Rattus norvegicus: one gene and its partners. The protein of the gene in region 4 interacts with the protein of the main gene of each other region in a biochemical or structural test. Links are inferred from orthologs where the notes say so. Each region holds a gene or a part of one and is shown on either strand. Other genes may lie near its edges. The genes, in order: Mapkapk5, Mapkapk3, Mapkapk2 and Hspb1.

Region 1 (3,561 bases), about 14 Mb from region 4:
CCACATGGACATGTATGGTGATGGCCCTGTTCAGTCTTACCTGGGGCTGGACTCATGAGGGAACTGTACACTGTTAGCAAACACTTCAATAATCTCAACTATGTTGGAGTGTGTGGCACACATCATGTGCAGGCGCACCTTAAAGAGAACACAGGAAACACCATCAAAAACTGACCACACTCGGCCTACTTCTGTAGAAATCCTTGTCACCTAGAATACTAGGAAAAGTATTTTCCTGTCCAGACCATTGGCTTCCTCCATACAAATAAAACTGCACGGGGCTGGGGATTTAGCTCAGTGGTAGAGCGCTTACCTAGGAAGCGCAAGGCCCTGGGTTCGGTCCCCAGCTCCGGAAAAAAAAAAACAAAAAACTGCACTAACAGATGCACTACGCCCTCTATTAACAAATGACAACGTGCACAACTCACTATTTCACATTCCTGCTACTAATGTAAACTGTGAGGTGAGTGAAGACTGCACGCCAGCTCTCCACATCACTGGAGCACTCGACATGGTAACATGAAGAGAGGAAGTATAGACAGTCTTTACACATCTCTTCACTTTCCAGAGAGCTACCTGCCTTAACTGTAAATACATATATATCCTAAGGCTCTAAGAACATTTAAACAAGGGCTGGACAGACAGCTAAGTGGTTAAGGGTGTCTCCTGCTCTTCCAGAAGAACAAACTTCAGTTCCCAGAGGGTGAGCCCACACTGTCTGGAGCAGTAAAGCATCTAATGGAGTTTTCAGGCCTGCAGAGGAAAGACCACCCCCTCTCCCTCTGTGCGTGCGTGCGTGCGTGTGCAAGCCAAATAAGGAACATACCTCATTTCTAGCTTTTGGACGATCGAGAAGAATTTTCAGTGCAAACCGTTCTTGAGTAGATTTCTTTACACAGACTCTAGGTATAGAAAGGAATCACAATGGTAGTCAGGATCTCCACAGCAAGTTCCAGGACAGCATGGCCTAACAGACCCTGTCTCAGACACACAGGCAAAGGAATACAAACAATGTGCCCTGAGCAGCAGGTGGCAAAGGTGAAGTCTCCTGCTGTCTGCTCAGCCACGGAGCCACACTAGAGTCTCAGCCTCAGCAGGTAATGTCAGCTCACGACCAAAGGACTGAAGAAACGATGGCCTCTCAAAAAGGCCAGTCTTATTTCCTAACATTTTTATTTCTTTCTATTGTATGAATGTTTTGCCTGCATGTAAGTCTGTTCACCGCCTGTTCCCTGTGGAAACCGATAGAGGGCGTCAGATGCCCTGGAGGAATTACTGGTGAGCCAGTTTATGGGTCCCAGAAATCAAACCCAGGCCTCTGCAAGAGCAGCTGCAGCTCTAAACCTCTGACCCACCTCCAGCCCCACCTTTTACATCTTTAGAATTACATTAAATTTTTTTATTTCATGTGTGATGTACATAAGGAGGTCACAGAGAAACCTGCAGGGATCAGTTCTCTCCTTCCAGTATTATTATTGGACCAGGCCATCAGAATTGTAACAAGAACTTCTACCCAACAACCCATCTCACTGGTCCAAATATCTTAACGTCTTAAAATCAGCCCATAATACTACAGACCGTGTGACTTTACTACTTAGCTGTTTCTAGCTATGAAACACTAACTACAGGCCTTTACCAAGGGGCCAGTGAGATCCACAGGACCTACACGGGGGAAGCGAACCACCTCCTGAAAGTCATCCTTAGACTTCCACACACTCACTCATAAAAATGCAACAAACAGATTATGAGGACGGACCTGAGGTTTAGCTTGTCACCTCTATGAGCTGGGGTAGCTCAGTGGTACATGCTACTACAACAATTCAAAGCCAAATAAAAACTGCAATTTAAACTCAGGCCAACTCTGATGGCGCATCGGGTGCCTGTGGCTCAAAGCTCACTTCCTATGTCTGTTCCCAGAACACACACCCACTTTTCCACATTGTCTTACCTAACCGGACCACTAATTCCAGCTCCCAGTTTCTGAGTCCAATTGATACTATATTCTTCTAAAATGGAGGTCTCCTATTAAAAAGAAGAAGATGAACAGGAGAGGCAGAGGTAACTCAACTGTAAGCTACAGCCCTGCCTCAGCGCCTCCCAGTCCGCAGGCTTCACAATCGCACACTTGTTCACATGACTGCCATCTCCTCCCAACCACTACCTCCCGATAACACAGGTTCAAGAATAAGAGAACTGCAATCCACCTTCGTGGTCTATTTAAGTAGACAAATGATGCTTTAGACAACGTATGGAACAAACATTAGGACTTTAGATAAGTGGCAGAACACTTACCTAGCATATGAGAGGCCTTCATCCGCCTCCAGCACCACTCATGTATTCAAATGTACAGCACAGTAACTTGTGAGTCTTCACTACGACAATCAAGTACACTTTCTTTTTTTTTTTTTTTAAATTTATTTACTTTATGTATGTGAGCACACTGTCGCTGTCTTCAGACACACCAGAAGAGGGAATCGGATTCCATTACAGATGGTTGTGAGCCACCATGTGGTTGCTGGGAACTGAACTCAGGTCTTCTGGAAGAGCAGTCAGTGCTCTAACCGCTGAGCCATCCTGCCAGCCCCACCTGGCACTCTTTTAAATCTTAAAAACTGAGAGTCCAGAAAACTGTGTCAGGTATTAATAGAAGCTTACATCCTTGAACAAACTGTTCAACTTGTGTGGATGGGAGAGTGGTGGTTTGAATATGCTTGGCCCAGGGAGTTGGCACTATTAGGAGATGTAGCCTTGTTAGGGGAAGTGTGTCACTGCAGGGGTTGACTTTGAGACCCTGCTCCTGCCTGGAAGACAGTTTGCTCTTGGCTTCCTTTGGATTAAGATGTAGAACTCTAAGCTCCTCGAGAACCATGCCTGCCTGGACGCTGCCTTACTTCCAGCTATGATGATAGGGGACTGAACCTCAGAATCTGTAAGCCAACTCCAGCTAAATGTTGTCCGTTTAAGAGCTGCGGTGGGCATGGTGTCTGTTCACAGCAACAGAAACCCTGAGTCAGGAGTGTGAACTCTCAGGCCTAATCTTACCAGGCTAAGGATGTACCTGACAGCAGAGAGTATCCCATCCACATTAGAGATTGAGGTTCAAACACTTGCTTTCACAGAAGGAAGCATGGCACTTTCTAGACCACTTGTCCTCAGTAATGACCCACTATCACCATTTGAGAATGTTTAAATAAAAACAACCCAATGTCCAGGATGGAGTGGATCAAGTATGCATTCTCCATTCATCTCTCCCTGGTAGGCCATCAACATTCAGTAACAACAAAACAGGCAATTCTCATACTCATGGTGTGAAGGCAGGCAACTGCTTTCCATGAATATATTTAAAGCTGGACAAAATGTCAAAACAAGACTGTCAGCCAGGAGGGCTCTCTGCTCTACTCCCAGCACGCAGCAGGCAGAGGCAGGAAGGCTTCTCTGAATACAGGACAACCTAATCAACAATGAGTACCAGACCAGGCACAGCTACACAGTGAGACCCAGTCAGTTGTCAGTTTTACAACGGTATAAACAAACTGAGAACTGTCTGTTTCTTAAACCCAC
Region 2 (4,071 bases), on a different chromosome or scaffold from region 4:
CACAGTCTTCCTGTTTCATGGATGCCTGCTGCATTTAGGCTTCCTGCTAGGTTCTGTCTAACCCCTCAGGCAATAAAGCCCAAAGATGGGCATGAAAAATTCAGGCTACACGATCAAGCCAAGCCAGCCTAATTATCTGAGTTATGGATCTAGGAAGGCACAGAGCCCATGACCTCCTAGGCTGAACTAGAGCAGCTGAGGAGAGGGTTAGGACCCACTCAGGGCCTGGCTGAGCTCCTTGGGCTCCGGTCTGTTACTCTGCTGAAGTTCCCCATACATCCTTCCTCTCCTGGGCAGAGGACAGAAACTGTTAAATGAGAAGGTGCTAGTTCCTTCCCCAAGGCCAAGCCACTAAAACAGCACATACACAGAGGTAGAGCTGGTCCCTTCTGGAGAGTAGGAGCCAAGATCAGAAAGAATTAGAATGAGAGCCACATCTAATCTCTTTCTCCCTGGAGGGTAAATTTAGGGCCAGATCCTAGAGCCTTCAAGTCATGCTGACCCATAATCTTAAGGGGAACAGAGGTGAAACTACTTCAGAACTCCACTGTTCCCAGACCAGGACAGGGAGAAGGTGGGGCCCTAAAATAGGAGGAGCTAGAGTGGAAGCTGCTGTAGCCACAAGTTCCCCCAGTCATTAGTCAGACACTTCATCTATGGGGGAGGTGTAGGCCCAGCCCTGCTTAAAGCTGCAACTGCCTGGGTTACAGGCTACAGGCTCTCACTCATCCCCACTGTGCTCACAATATGTGATCCCCAGAAGGTCAGGGTCAAAGCCTCAAACCTGAGAAGAGGTTCTCTGGCCTCAATCACCCGCTCACCCTCACGCAGGCTGCCTCTTAATTCAAGCAGGACAACTGGTGGTAAGGGAGAAGGTAAGGCTCATTATTCATCTCCTCAGACCTATCTGCCACGAGGAAAGCCACCTTCTCACCCCTGCCTGGGACCCCAAAGCGCTATTCTACTGTTGGGTTAACGAATAAAGAACCTAGGGTCCAGCCCTCAAGTCAGTCCTTACCCTGCCCTCGACCCACCGTCATAATCCCCTCTAGGGTCCCGCTTGAGAGCCAACCTCCTCTGCTTTCAGCCTGGTACACCAGGGAACGACAAAGAACGGGGCCCAGGCGCTCAGTAAAATTCTTTTGGATCTTGTGCTTGAAGAAACTGCTGAAGCCTCCTCTCTAGGCCTCTTCCAGGCCTAGATCAAGTACGCCACGTGTTTTATCTCATTTTGAGTTCACATCAACTCCCGTTCTCTCCCTGAACAAAATCGGCTATCGCCCAAGGTCACAGAGCTGGCACAGACACAAGGTAGAGATTACAGCCACAGCTACAGGACTCTGCACCCTGGCTCATGAAAAACAGAACTTTATGAACTTCCAGGAGTTACTCGCTCTCCACCTTGATGTTCCAGGAAGGTGCCAATGGCACCACCTCTAATTGAGTCTAGTTCCCAGTGACAAAAAATTCAAGGTGTTCTGGAGTACGGGGTAGAGGTGGGGTGAGGACACGGGTAGGAGTAGGGCCTCTTGGACTGCCCAAACCAGATTCAGGTAGTGAGATCAACTACTCCAAGCCACTCCCCCTTCCACCTACATCAATGTGCCAGCCTCTAGGGAGTATGATATGGTAAGTGGTTCCTCATCGTCTGCCCGGGGTGGGTCAGCCTAGGAGCAAAGTTTGCCCCTTTCCACAAGGGTCCACCAACTCATCAAGAGCCCAGCAGTCAAAGAGGCTTATAGTCCTGCCTCAGCAGTCGGAAGCCGTGAGGAGGAAGCAACCCCATTCTGAGCCTTGGGAGCTCAGCCCTCAAGCAGAGGGAAACTTAGACCCATTCCTGTAGCAGGAGCTAATTGCAGAGGATGGCTAAGAGTAAGAGCATCCTTTGCGCCTAAACACAAGCCCAAACCAGAACCACAGCGCACAGCCACTCCCTCCTGCCTTCCGGTACAACAGCTCTACTCACACTGACTCCTCCCCCTTGCTCTTTGGGACCCACCCTGAGCTTAGGTAGGTCAGCCTGTGTTAGCCTGTTTCCGCATGTGTGAGGCTGAGAGGACCATGAGTCTGACGCTAGAGGAAGAGTATAAAAATAAAACATGATGCTGAGTGTAGATGTTTAATAGAGGCCCCGAATATAGATACACCCACAGGTATCTGCTGTTGGACCCTCCAGGTCATCCCAGCCCTCCGAGAGATGATGGGTCACTAACCTTCAAGGCACACTTCTGCCCAGAGCGCCGATGGTAGCACTCTAGTACCTTGCCGTTCACACCCAGACCCAGCACTTGCTTGGACAACTGGTAGTCATCAGTCACCGCGTACTTCTTGGGTTCCCGTCGCACACCTGGGGCCGGAGCACCGCCCAAGGCGGGCGCACCGAGCGCACCTGGCTGGGGCACAAGACTCCCCTTCTCCCCCGCCGTCTCGCCATCCATGGCCCCCACGGGGCGCTTGTAGGTAGCCCCAGCCTGGCACGTCCAGAGGCACCTGAAGGAAAGGGAAAGAGTCACTCCCCATCGAGACTTTTTGGACACACCCCAGCTTTGGTTTCTCCAGAACTAGATTGACTGGGCTGCTGGGCCAAGACAAGCTGGAAACTGCCTGAGAGTACCTACGTACAGCAGGGGGAGGTGATCCCTCAGCCCAGGCACATGTGGAGTTGAGGAGTCCGGCGCAGTGAAGCAGCCAGGTCTTGAGAAACGGCCATATAGGGGCCCAGGAAAGGCGTGCCAGGCGAAGGCGCACTTGATGGCAAAGCACTAGACGGAAGTCATGTTGTAGGCGAGAGGGGCAAGAGATAGTGAGGCCTGGAGTCCGCTGCGGAGGGGAGCCCTGGACCCAGAGTCTCGCGGTCCGCGCCCCACGTGACCCCCCATCCCCCTTCTGGGCGCGTCATCTGGACTTGGGGCCCCGCTAGGTCAGCCTTAAAGGGCCAGACAAGTCCAGGCTGGGTTGGCCAAGGCAGAGCCCCTGGCAAGCTCCGCCCCTGAGTCGGGACAAAATGGGGCGTAGCCTCCTCAAGTGTCTGTAACTTTCTCAGCGCCCTGTGACACTGGTAGGAACTCCTCCAACTGTTGTACCAGCCTCGGATTTTATCCCTGATCTTGAAAAGTTACAGCACACGACATTTTGTTTCTCTTGAGGGCTCTTGAGTGAAGTGTTCTTTTTGCTTGCTGCCAGGGGGCGGTTTAGACTCCCAACTTTCCAGATAGCTAAGCGCTTCAGAATTCAACTTCTGAATTTTTTTGTCAGTCTGCCCTGGGACATGTGGTTGTTCAATTCGCAACTCTTCATTCCCTGGTGGTTTAGGGCATCTGTCTAACACTGGCCAGCTTTCCTTTCTATACACCAAACTTTTGACTTTGCAACTCACTTGTCGCAAATGTATTGGGCCACACTCGTGCTTTCCTGGACCTCTTACAGCCTGCAGCCGTAAGTTGAACATACCTGGGCCGTTCTTGACCCAGAAATCTTGATTTCCCATTGGTCAGTTGCATCAACTTTTCACTTTGTCATGATTTGAGCTTTAGATTCTATTTCAAGCCACTGGCCCTGGTGATGAACACCAGTAATTGCAGCACGAGGAAGGCTTAGGCAGGAGGATTAGGAGGCTAACCTAGGCTACATCGTGAGGCTATGTTTTTTTTTTTTGTTTGTTTGTTTGGTTGGTTGGTTGGTTTTTTTTTTCTTTCTTTCTTTTTTTCGGAGCTGAGGACCGAACCCGGGACTTGCGCTTTCTAGGCAAACGCTCTACCACTGAGCTAAATCCCCAACCCTGAGGCTATGTTTTTAAAAAATAAAATAAAATTAGCCTAGCACTCTGAAGGCAGAGGAAAGCTGATCTCAGTCAGTTTGAGGCCAACCTGGCCTACAAAGAGATGTTCCAGTACAACCAGAACTGCTACATGGAGAAACACTGTCTCCAAAATCTCAATGAATCAATCAATCAATCATCAATCGATATTAACATTAAAATTCCTTTCTTCCATCCCAAAGACAGATTCTCTATTAACTTTAAAATTTCCTCTTCTGGGGAACAAAATACTTACAGGAGGAAATACAGAGACA
Region 3 (4,107 bases), on a different chromosome or scaffold from region 4:
GTGCATATGCATGTGTGTGTGTGTGCATGCGTGTGCATGTGTGTGTGTGTGTGTGTGTGTGTGTGTCTCAAGTGCATAATGGTGAGCACAGAGGACAGAAAGAGCTCAGATGTCAGAGCCCCTGGAACTAGAGTCACAGGTAGGTGTTACCCACCTGAGTCCTCTGCAAAAGCAGCAAACGCTCCTCACAGCTGGGCCATCCTTAGGTTAGTTTTTATTTTTTTTAAGCCCCGGTTTCACTTAATAGAACAAAGAGCAGAACCTAGGAGCAGCCTTCATTTCCCATCATTCCTCGGGGCTATAAGACAGGCTTCTAAATCCCCATGAGAGCCAGGCTGGGCACTACGTCCCTAGGCATGGACTCAGTACACTGTATAGAGCACAGGTCTCTTCCCAGTACCCAAAGGGATCATCAACCCAGCCTGTTCCACTGTTTCCTCTCCCCGTGCTGCCCCCACTGTTTTGAAATCATTTCACTACTCAGCACCTAAAGTTTTCAAAGCGTAAGACTCGGCGGCAGTGGTGGTGCGTGCCACTGAAAGAGGATTTCTTTTAACCAGATTTCCCTCAAGGCTGCGATTATGTCTTAGCCAATATTTGGGTATGAAAATGCTGTTGACACGGCTGCCACTCTCCAAACATCTTGGCTCTCCTTTCTTCCTCTACTCAAAATCTCAACACAAAGATGTACGGGAAATCTGCAATCTGCCATCTGAGTCAGCCTTGAAGATCTGGGAGCGGGCTGCTTGTCAAAACAGTCTTCACCTACCCCTGACTAGAGAAGGGTTAGCATGAGGATGGTTTAATATGCTGCTAGCTTCTTTTCCTTTCAAAACTATCCAAAGGAGAAAAGTACACGAACTTCCGTTAACTATACCAGAAATCTGAATTGACAGCCTAGAGCACTTCAGAGGACAGTGTATTCAAACAGAATAGGAAAGGGTAAAGCAGGTTTTTCTGTTATTGTTGTGAAGTCTTTAGACTGTGTTCCAGCTAAGCAAGAGAATGAACAGCCAGTGTCCCCGGTCTGCTGATGGGTAAAGGCAGATGGCACGGCAGAGAGAGAAATGTTTCCGGAAAGAACATCTGTCACTTCCTCAACAATACAGTTAACTGTGGTCAAACTGTTCCTTAGCCTCCAGTCCCCAAGGTCAGAGCCACCGTTCGACCCAATCAACTCCTTTCCTCACTTACTTACTAACAGGGAAAGAGAAGTGAAAAGTACAAACGCTTCAGTATTTGGGGCCGTGTTAAGAGTCCCTCCCCAGCATTCACACCAAGCAACATTTTTAATGTGATGCTGAAGATGAAAACAGCAAAAACATACAAAGTCCCAGGTTTTGGTCCCGCATATGACAACAGTCTCAACTCTATCTGTACTATAGTCTATCTGTACTATAGAAGGGCTGGAACAAAGCAAGTTGTGTGGGCTGAGGGGGAAGAGAAAAATATAACACAGGAAGTAGTTTGCTCCTCCAATCATTGAGACACCTCGGGAGAAAGAAACCTGACAAGTGACCTTTAGAGATACGGTGTAACCTGAAACCCTTGAGAGAAGAAAACTTTGCAGTGACCCTGAATGACAGAGTCCGGTGGTTCACTAAGACCTTTTGAAATTCCCATTCTCCACTACCACAGACAGAAACAGAGGCAGGCAGACGTAGAGAAATTAAGAGTGGGTTTCCCAAATGCAGGAATAGTGTTTTCCTGCCTTTGAGTCTCCAGCTACGAGGGACCAGTTTATCAGCACTGGGCCAAGCCTTGGCTTACAGACAAGGCTTCCAACGGTGGAGGGAGCAATGGAAACAGCGCGGCGCAGCCTAAGGGGTAGCGCAGGCCAGGCGCTGGCGGTTCCAGACAATCGCGGGACACGGAGGCGGGGTCCCCAGTCTCCAGCGCCGCGCCGACGCGCCCCAGTGCTGCGCGCCGACCTCGCGAGGCCGGAGAGAGCGAAGTCACATTCCGGCTCCCAAATAAGGAGTAGGGTTAAGGAAACCTCAGAGAGCGAACTTCTCCAAACCGACCGACCAACCAGCTCAATGAGTAAAGGGCCTTTTGTGCCCGCAGAAAGGAAGGAGGGAGGGAGGATGGGGCCACCGTGTCCTCGGCTCCGGGTGAAGCGATCAGAGGCCGTCCCGGACCCAAGCGTGGCCTCCCGGCTGGATCCCACTCACACCCCAACATGGCAGTCCCCGTGAGTCCTCTCGGGTGCCGGCCACTCGCGGGGTGACCGGAAGCTGCACCGGATCCCAGCGCGATCCCGGGCGGCCCAGACTTACCTTTAGGGCGAATTTTTGCTGGGTTCTCTTGTCGAAGATCCGCAGCACCTTCCCGTTGATGCCCAGGCCAAGCACTTGGCTGGTGACCTTGTAGTCGTCGGTGATGGCGTTCTTTCGGATCTGCAGGCCCGACTTGACGTGGAACTGAGGGAACGGCGGCGGCGGCTGGGCCGGGGCGGGTGGTGGCGGGCTGGGGAACGGCGCCGGCGGAGTCTGGCCCGGAGAGCCCGACAGCATGGTGCCCGGCGACTCGCGCGCAGAGGAAGGGGCCGCGGCAGCCCCCTCCTCCGGCTCGGGCCCGGGTCCCCGCCACGCCCCGCCCGGCGGCGAAGTTTGCTCCGGGCTGGAGCCGGCTGCCCCGCCCCGGCCCGGCTCCAGGCTCGGCGGGTCGCGGGGCCCCGTGGGTCCCGCTGTGCGCCGCGGGCGCCCACCAGCCCTGCTCCCTCCCCCCGGAGACGAGCGCTCCGGGGAACGCGGGACGGCGGGGCCCGGCCGGGGGAATCGCCGCGCCGAGAAGTACCAGCCCGGGGGCGGCGGCCGCGTCACAGGCTGCTCAGCGTCCTGGGCTAGTCCTTAAAGGGGAGGATCGAGGGTGGGGCTTGGGAGAGGCGTGGGCTTGGGGGAGGGGTGGGCCTTAAAGGGGAGGAAGTCCAGTGGCGGGAGAGCATAGGGAGTGCGAGCTAGCGGTCAGGAAGAGAGCACCAAGAAATCCTAGTTCTTAACCCGGGCCGGGCAGAGGGAAAGGGAAGGAGGGCAAAAGAAAAGAGGCTGGATAATTCAAACAAAACCCTCACTTCTCCAACTGCTTGGATCTAGAAGACAGGTCATCGGGGAATTTGAGGAGGCGGTGTATTTTGAAAGAAACGGATAATTGATAAGAATCTTCCTACGTGGACCCTGGGGGTGGGGGCTACCCGGGCAGTGCGGGGAGCCGGGGGCGGAGAGGGGGGGCGGGGGTTACAGAGACTATTCATCCTAAGATTAGGCGTCAGGCAATAGTAAGGATTTCCTTAATATACTTGTGAGTTTTACTTTTTTTTCCCTCATGGACTTACTGGTTTTCTGAGACTGTATTGCTGTGTTATCATGACCAATTTAGTTATTATGCATTTGAACATATTTTTATGTAAACCCAACATGACCCAAGATAGGAAAGGGATGAGGCACTGTAGCTGCCTGTAATCCAGGGTTATCTGCAGGAGGTTGAAGCAGGAGGATGATGTGTCAGAGGGTCAGCCTGAGCAACAAAGGCAGACTGTGTCTCAAAATACCCATAAACTTCATGTCTCTCTGGGAGGTACACCTATGCCTTTGTGTTCTAAACTCATTGAGATTATAGACCAAGGGGAAAGGCAAGGGGAATAGTTCTTGGGTGGTTGAGGAAATCATCCCTGAGGCTATGACCAATAACTATTCCTGTAGCAGCCTAGTTCTAGTAGAAGTAGAAAAGGGCATTGGAGACATAGCCCAGGAGAATAAGGTTCATTTGCTTTTCCCTGTTTAGATTTCCAGAAGAGGCTTGTCCCAAGGAAGACAGAGGTGGACAGGTGAAGGACAGTAGTTCCCCTCTTGAGATCCAGCAAAACTGAGACGACTGGTGCCCTTTCAAGAAGCACTTTTTTCAGCACTAGGTTCCATGCTCCTGGCTTACCCCTGTGGTGATAATGCTAACCCAGGGGAATGGATAGATGCAGTAGTTGGGTCAGCAGTGTGGCAGATACAGGCCTGGGAATAGAAAGCAAATTAGCTCACTTCAGTCTGCAGCTGGACAGATCCCTTCCACATTGCACACAGGCTAGACAAGTCCCGGTTTCAACGACACTGCTTG
Region 4 (3,669 bases):
TTTTTTTTTTTTTTTTTTTTTTTTACCTTTAAGGTGTTTTCATGTATCCCAGGCTGGCCTCACTTTGGCCACGTAGCCCAGGATAACCTCGAACTCCTTTCTGATCCTCCACTTCTGGAATGTGCCACCGTACCCGGTTTATTTGATGTAGAGGATCAAATGGTGCTTCATGCACACCATAGGACACTCTATTGAGCCACACCCCAAGCTCCTATTATGTTTGTTTGTCTGGTTGGTTTTGAAGACAGCATGTATGTGGCCCAGTCACTCTAAGAACTCTGTAGCCCAGGCTGGCTTCCAATTCACAATGCTTCTGCATTAACTTCTGGGTATTGGAATTACAGGCATATACCACCATTCCTAGTCTGGTAAATTTAATCTCCAGGTTACTCCCCCCACCCCACCCCACCCCCTGCCTCTTCCTAGGGGAATATTAGGCTGGACGGAGGAAGGGGCTGAGCCTAGAGCAAACACTTAGCAAAGACCCCAAAGGGTGCTCCAATTAGAAACACTCATCCCTAGCCCACCATAACAACTCTGGATTCTGAGAGGGTGGTGAGCAGTAGTTTCCAACTTTTATTTGAGAAAAACAGAAAGTACATGTATCAAAAGAGCATTCAGATTGACAGAGAGGGAGGGCTGGTGACGGCTACTGGGGATGGGTAGCAAGCTGAAGGCTTCTACTTGGCTCCAGACTGTTCCGACTCTGGGCCTCCAATTTGGGCACGGGCCTCGAAAGTGACCGGAATGGTGATCTCCGCTGATTGTGTGACTGCTTTGGGCAGCGGAGCCTCCACGGTGAGTGTGCCCTCAGGGGACAGGGAAGAGGACACCAGGGTGGGGTCCACACCTGGAGGGAGCCTAGAGGAGCAGAAACAAAGGACAAGGGTTACACATCCCTCCTGACCCCGCCCTCCGCCCAGGGTCCGCTCCCCCACCCCCCAGCTCTCCATGCAAGGAACCAGAACTCACGTGTATTTCCGGGTGAAGCACCGAGAGATGTAGCCATGTTCATCCTGCCTTTCTTCGTGCTTGCCTGTGGGTGGGGACAGAAGGAGGTCAGAGGCAGCCCTCTGCAGTCCTAGCTAAGGAATGGCTGGGGCCCCAAGGAGGCAAACAAATTAAGAGTGTGGTGGGATGCCTGACTGTCTGGGATCTTAAAACTTTCCAGAAAGTTCGCTTCTGAGATTTGGGATGCAAAGGTCCCGGACCTGGGCTTGGCTCTGACCCAGGCTTGGATGCCAGCGTAGGCATACTCGAAGCTGTGCGCACGCCCCCACCGCGGCTGGGTCTAGGGACCCTGACTGGAGTCCTGCCACTTGCTTATTTGGGGATGAGGTCTTCCAGAAGGTGCCTTGGGTCTTCCTTCATTTTGTTTCTGTGCTGCGGGTGGTCAAGGCCTCAAGGCCTCCGGGCTTGCCAGGCAAGACTCTGCCCTGAGCTACACCCCCAGCTGTTGGTCCTTATCATCGAAGATGACAGAGCTTTTAGGAGCAAACCTGCACCCCGCGTTCCGGGGCAAGAGAAGCAGGCTAGGGAGAATGACGCGGGTCTCCGGGTCCCTGAGCTCATTTCTAACTTTTCAGGGTCCTGTCCCTCATGGTTTCAGCACCCACCCCCACCCCCCACCTCCACTGCCACCACGTTACTCGCTCGCCCCACCAGCTTCGTCCCCTCTTGGGATAAGGGAAACTCACCAGTGATCTCCACCACGCCTTCCTTGGTCTTAACTGTGAGCTCCTCAGGAGCGAAGTGGTTGACGTCCAGGGACACGCGCCAGCGATCGGCCGTCTGTCGGATCTCTGAGACACCGCTGCTGAGTTGCCGGTTGAGCGCCCGGCTGAAGGCGGGCGCGGCCAGGGTCACTGCTGCGGGGCCCTCGGCGGTCGCGGCGGGCAGAGGGCGCACATAGCCGGGCCAACCAGCGGAGCTGAACCACTGAGACCACTCATCGGGAAACCGAGGCACCCCGAAAGCTTGATCGAAGAGGCGGCTGTGGGCAGGGTACCAGTCCCGGAACGGCTCCCAGCTGGGGCTCCGCAGTAGCGAGAAGGGCACGCGGCGCTCGGTCATGGTCTTGGCTGAGCTGGTCAGGGCTGAGGATCTAGAAGCACTGGGCTGAGGATCCGAGAAGTGCCGAGCTGGAGCCCCAACTGTGCTTTTATGGGTGTCCAGCCGGGTATTTTTAGCAGGCGGTGCTTCAGGTCTCTATTAATGGCAATGACCGTCTAAGGGGCCGTCCCTCGCCGCCCCTCCCCTCTGCATTCCTCCCCCTAAGCTTACGAAGGGGGCGGGCAGGCAGGGCCAGGAAGGTTCTGCCCCCATCTGGAAACTTCTCTAGTTGAAGAAAACAAATGACTGTAATACCGGTAGCTGGAGCAGTTCCCACTGTCGCTTAGAACGCTGCAGTCTGAAGGGCGGTGGCCTGGGGCCAGTCCCATCGTTTGTGGAGAATAAACCAGGAGGGGTACGGTCTTTTGTGTCGCAATTAGGAAGCAACTGAACCTGGTCTGAGCCAGAAGGAGGCCTGTGGGGACACACTTGTCAGGGCACACCTGTGGAGGTCTCTGGATGACCAGCCAGACTAGCTGTCTTCTACCATGTGTCTCTTTGGGGACCAAAGGCTTGGTGGCAGGCGCCTTCGTCCACTAAATATCTTACTGACCCTGAGACTTCTTTTTCTCTTCCTTCCCTCCTTCCTTTCTCTCTTTCTTTGAGACAGGGTTTTTCTTTTTTGTTTTAATGCTTTTTTAAACATTATTTTTTGTGTATCAGCGTTTTGCCTGCTTGTACGTCTGTGTGAGAGTGTCAGATCTTGGAGCTACAGAGAGTGTCAGATCTCGGAGTGCCCTGCGGGTGCTAGAATTTGAACCTGGGTACTAGGAAGAGCAGTCAGTCCCCCTAATCGCTGAGCCATCTCTCGGGAGACATCAAGCCTGGTGCCTGCAAACTGGATGGGCAGTGAACCCCCTAGCATCCTCCTGTTTCTGCAACTGCCCCACCCCTCCAGCCTAGCGCTAGGATTAGGATCTTTTTTCAAAACAGGATTTTTCTGTGTAGTCCTGGTTGTCTTAGAACTCATTAGACTAGGCTGGCCTGGATCTCACAGATCGGCCTGCCGTTTCCTCTGGGAGAGTTGGGATTAAAGGCTAGAGGCATCACATGGTAGCCACCTCCAGCTTTTATATGGATTGCTTTGTGGTCCATACAAAAGAAACTAGGGTTAAAGGTCACCTGTGATGTCTATTAGCATACCAATGAGCACTGGCCTCTGGGCTCACTGGGCAACTGAAATACTACTCTTAGCTCTTCTCAGCCCTTCTCACCCTGCCCCTTACTCATAAACGTCTCCAGTTCTTGGGGCTCCCCTCCCCCAGCTTCTCACGACTGTATGTGCTCTCTTGGTCCTCTCTCCCTCATCCCCCTCTCTTGGTCTTTTTTGCCCCATCTCTCTTTGCTGGCATCTGTCCCTCTCCCAATCTCTCTTCTCTCCTGTCCACACACACCCAATCTGCTGGCCATATGCAGTTCAGTTTCTCTGCTCTGGATTCTTCCAGACGCCTCTGACTGTATGCTCTCATATCCACCGTAAAAACTTTCCCCTTAACCACACCTCAGAGCAGCCATGTCCTCAGTTGTAGACCCAAAACTCAGCCCCCAAGTTCGCAC

The links.
Region 1: of the proteins of Hspb1 (region 4) and Mapkapk5, one has a biochemical effect on the other in vitro, tested with the Homo sapiens proteins (4 studies listed by BioGRID and IntAct). The link is inferred for Rattus norvegicus from reciprocal best matches to the Homo sapiens genes HSPB1 and MAPKAPK5.
Region 2: of the proteins of Hspb1 (region 4) and Mapkapk3, one has a biochemical effect on the other in vitro, tested with the Homo sapiens proteins (2 studies listed by BioGRID and IntAct). The link is inferred for Rattus norvegicus from reciprocal best matches to the Homo sapiens genes HSPB1 and MAPKAPK3.
Region 3: of the proteins of Hspb1 (region 4) and Mapkapk2, one has a biochemical effect on the other in vitro, tested with the Homo sapiens proteins (17 studies listed by BioGRID and IntAct, with this or other methods). The link is inferred for Rattus norvegicus from reciprocal best matches to the Homo sapiens genes HSPB1 and MAPKAPK2.

Annotation. Positions count from the first base shown.
Region 1 is NC_086030.1:40,657,757-40,661,317, reverse strand, and holds part of Mapkapk5 (MAP kinase-activated protein kinase 5), read right to left. Parts: intron 2,023-3,561; coding exon 1,949-2,022; intron 903-1,948; coding exon 827-902; intron 139-826; coding exon 41-138; intron 1-40. UniProt on the Homo sapiens protein: Tumor suppressor serine/threonine-protein kinase involved in mTORC1 signaling and post-transcriptional regulation. Phosphorylates FOXO3, ERK3/MAPK6, ERK4/MAPK4, HSP27/HSPB1, p53/TP53 and RHEB.
Region 2 is NC_086026.1:116,839,380-116,843,450, forward strand, and holds the start of Mapkapk3 (MAP kinase-activated protein kinase 3), read right to left. Parts: upstream 2,850-4,071; 5' UTR 2,619-2,849; exon of another isoform or gene 2,615-2,618; intron 2,491-2,614; 5' UTR 2,439-2,490; coding exon 2,214-2,438; intron 1-2,213. UniProt on the Homo sapiens protein: Stress-activated serine/threonine-protein kinase involved in cytokines production, endocytosis, cell migration, chromatin remodeling and transcriptional regulation.
Region 3 is NC_086031.1:45,109,510-45,113,616, forward strand, and holds the start of Mapkapk2 (MAP kinase-activated protein kinase 2), read right to left. Parts: upstream 2,818-4,107; 5' UTR 2,517-2,817; coding exon 2,280-2,516; intron 2,267-2,279; exon of another isoform or gene 1-2,266. UniProt on the Homo sapiens protein: Stress-activated serine/threonine-protein kinase involved in cytokine production, endocytosis, reorganization of the cytoskeleton, cell migration, cell cycle control, chromatin remodeling, DNA damage response and transcriptional regulation.
Region 4 is NC_086030.1:26,430,095-26,433,763, forward strand, and holds Hspb1 (heat shock protein beta-1), read right to left. Parts: upstream 2,208-3,669; 5' UTR 2,074-2,207; coding exon 1,698-2,073; intron 1,037-1,697; coding exon 973-1,036; intron 862-972; coding exon 681-861; 3' UTR 546-680; downstream 1-545. UniProt on the Homo sapiens protein: Small heat shock protein which functions as a molecular chaperone probably maintaining denatured proteins in a folding-competent state. Plays a role in stress resistance and actin organization.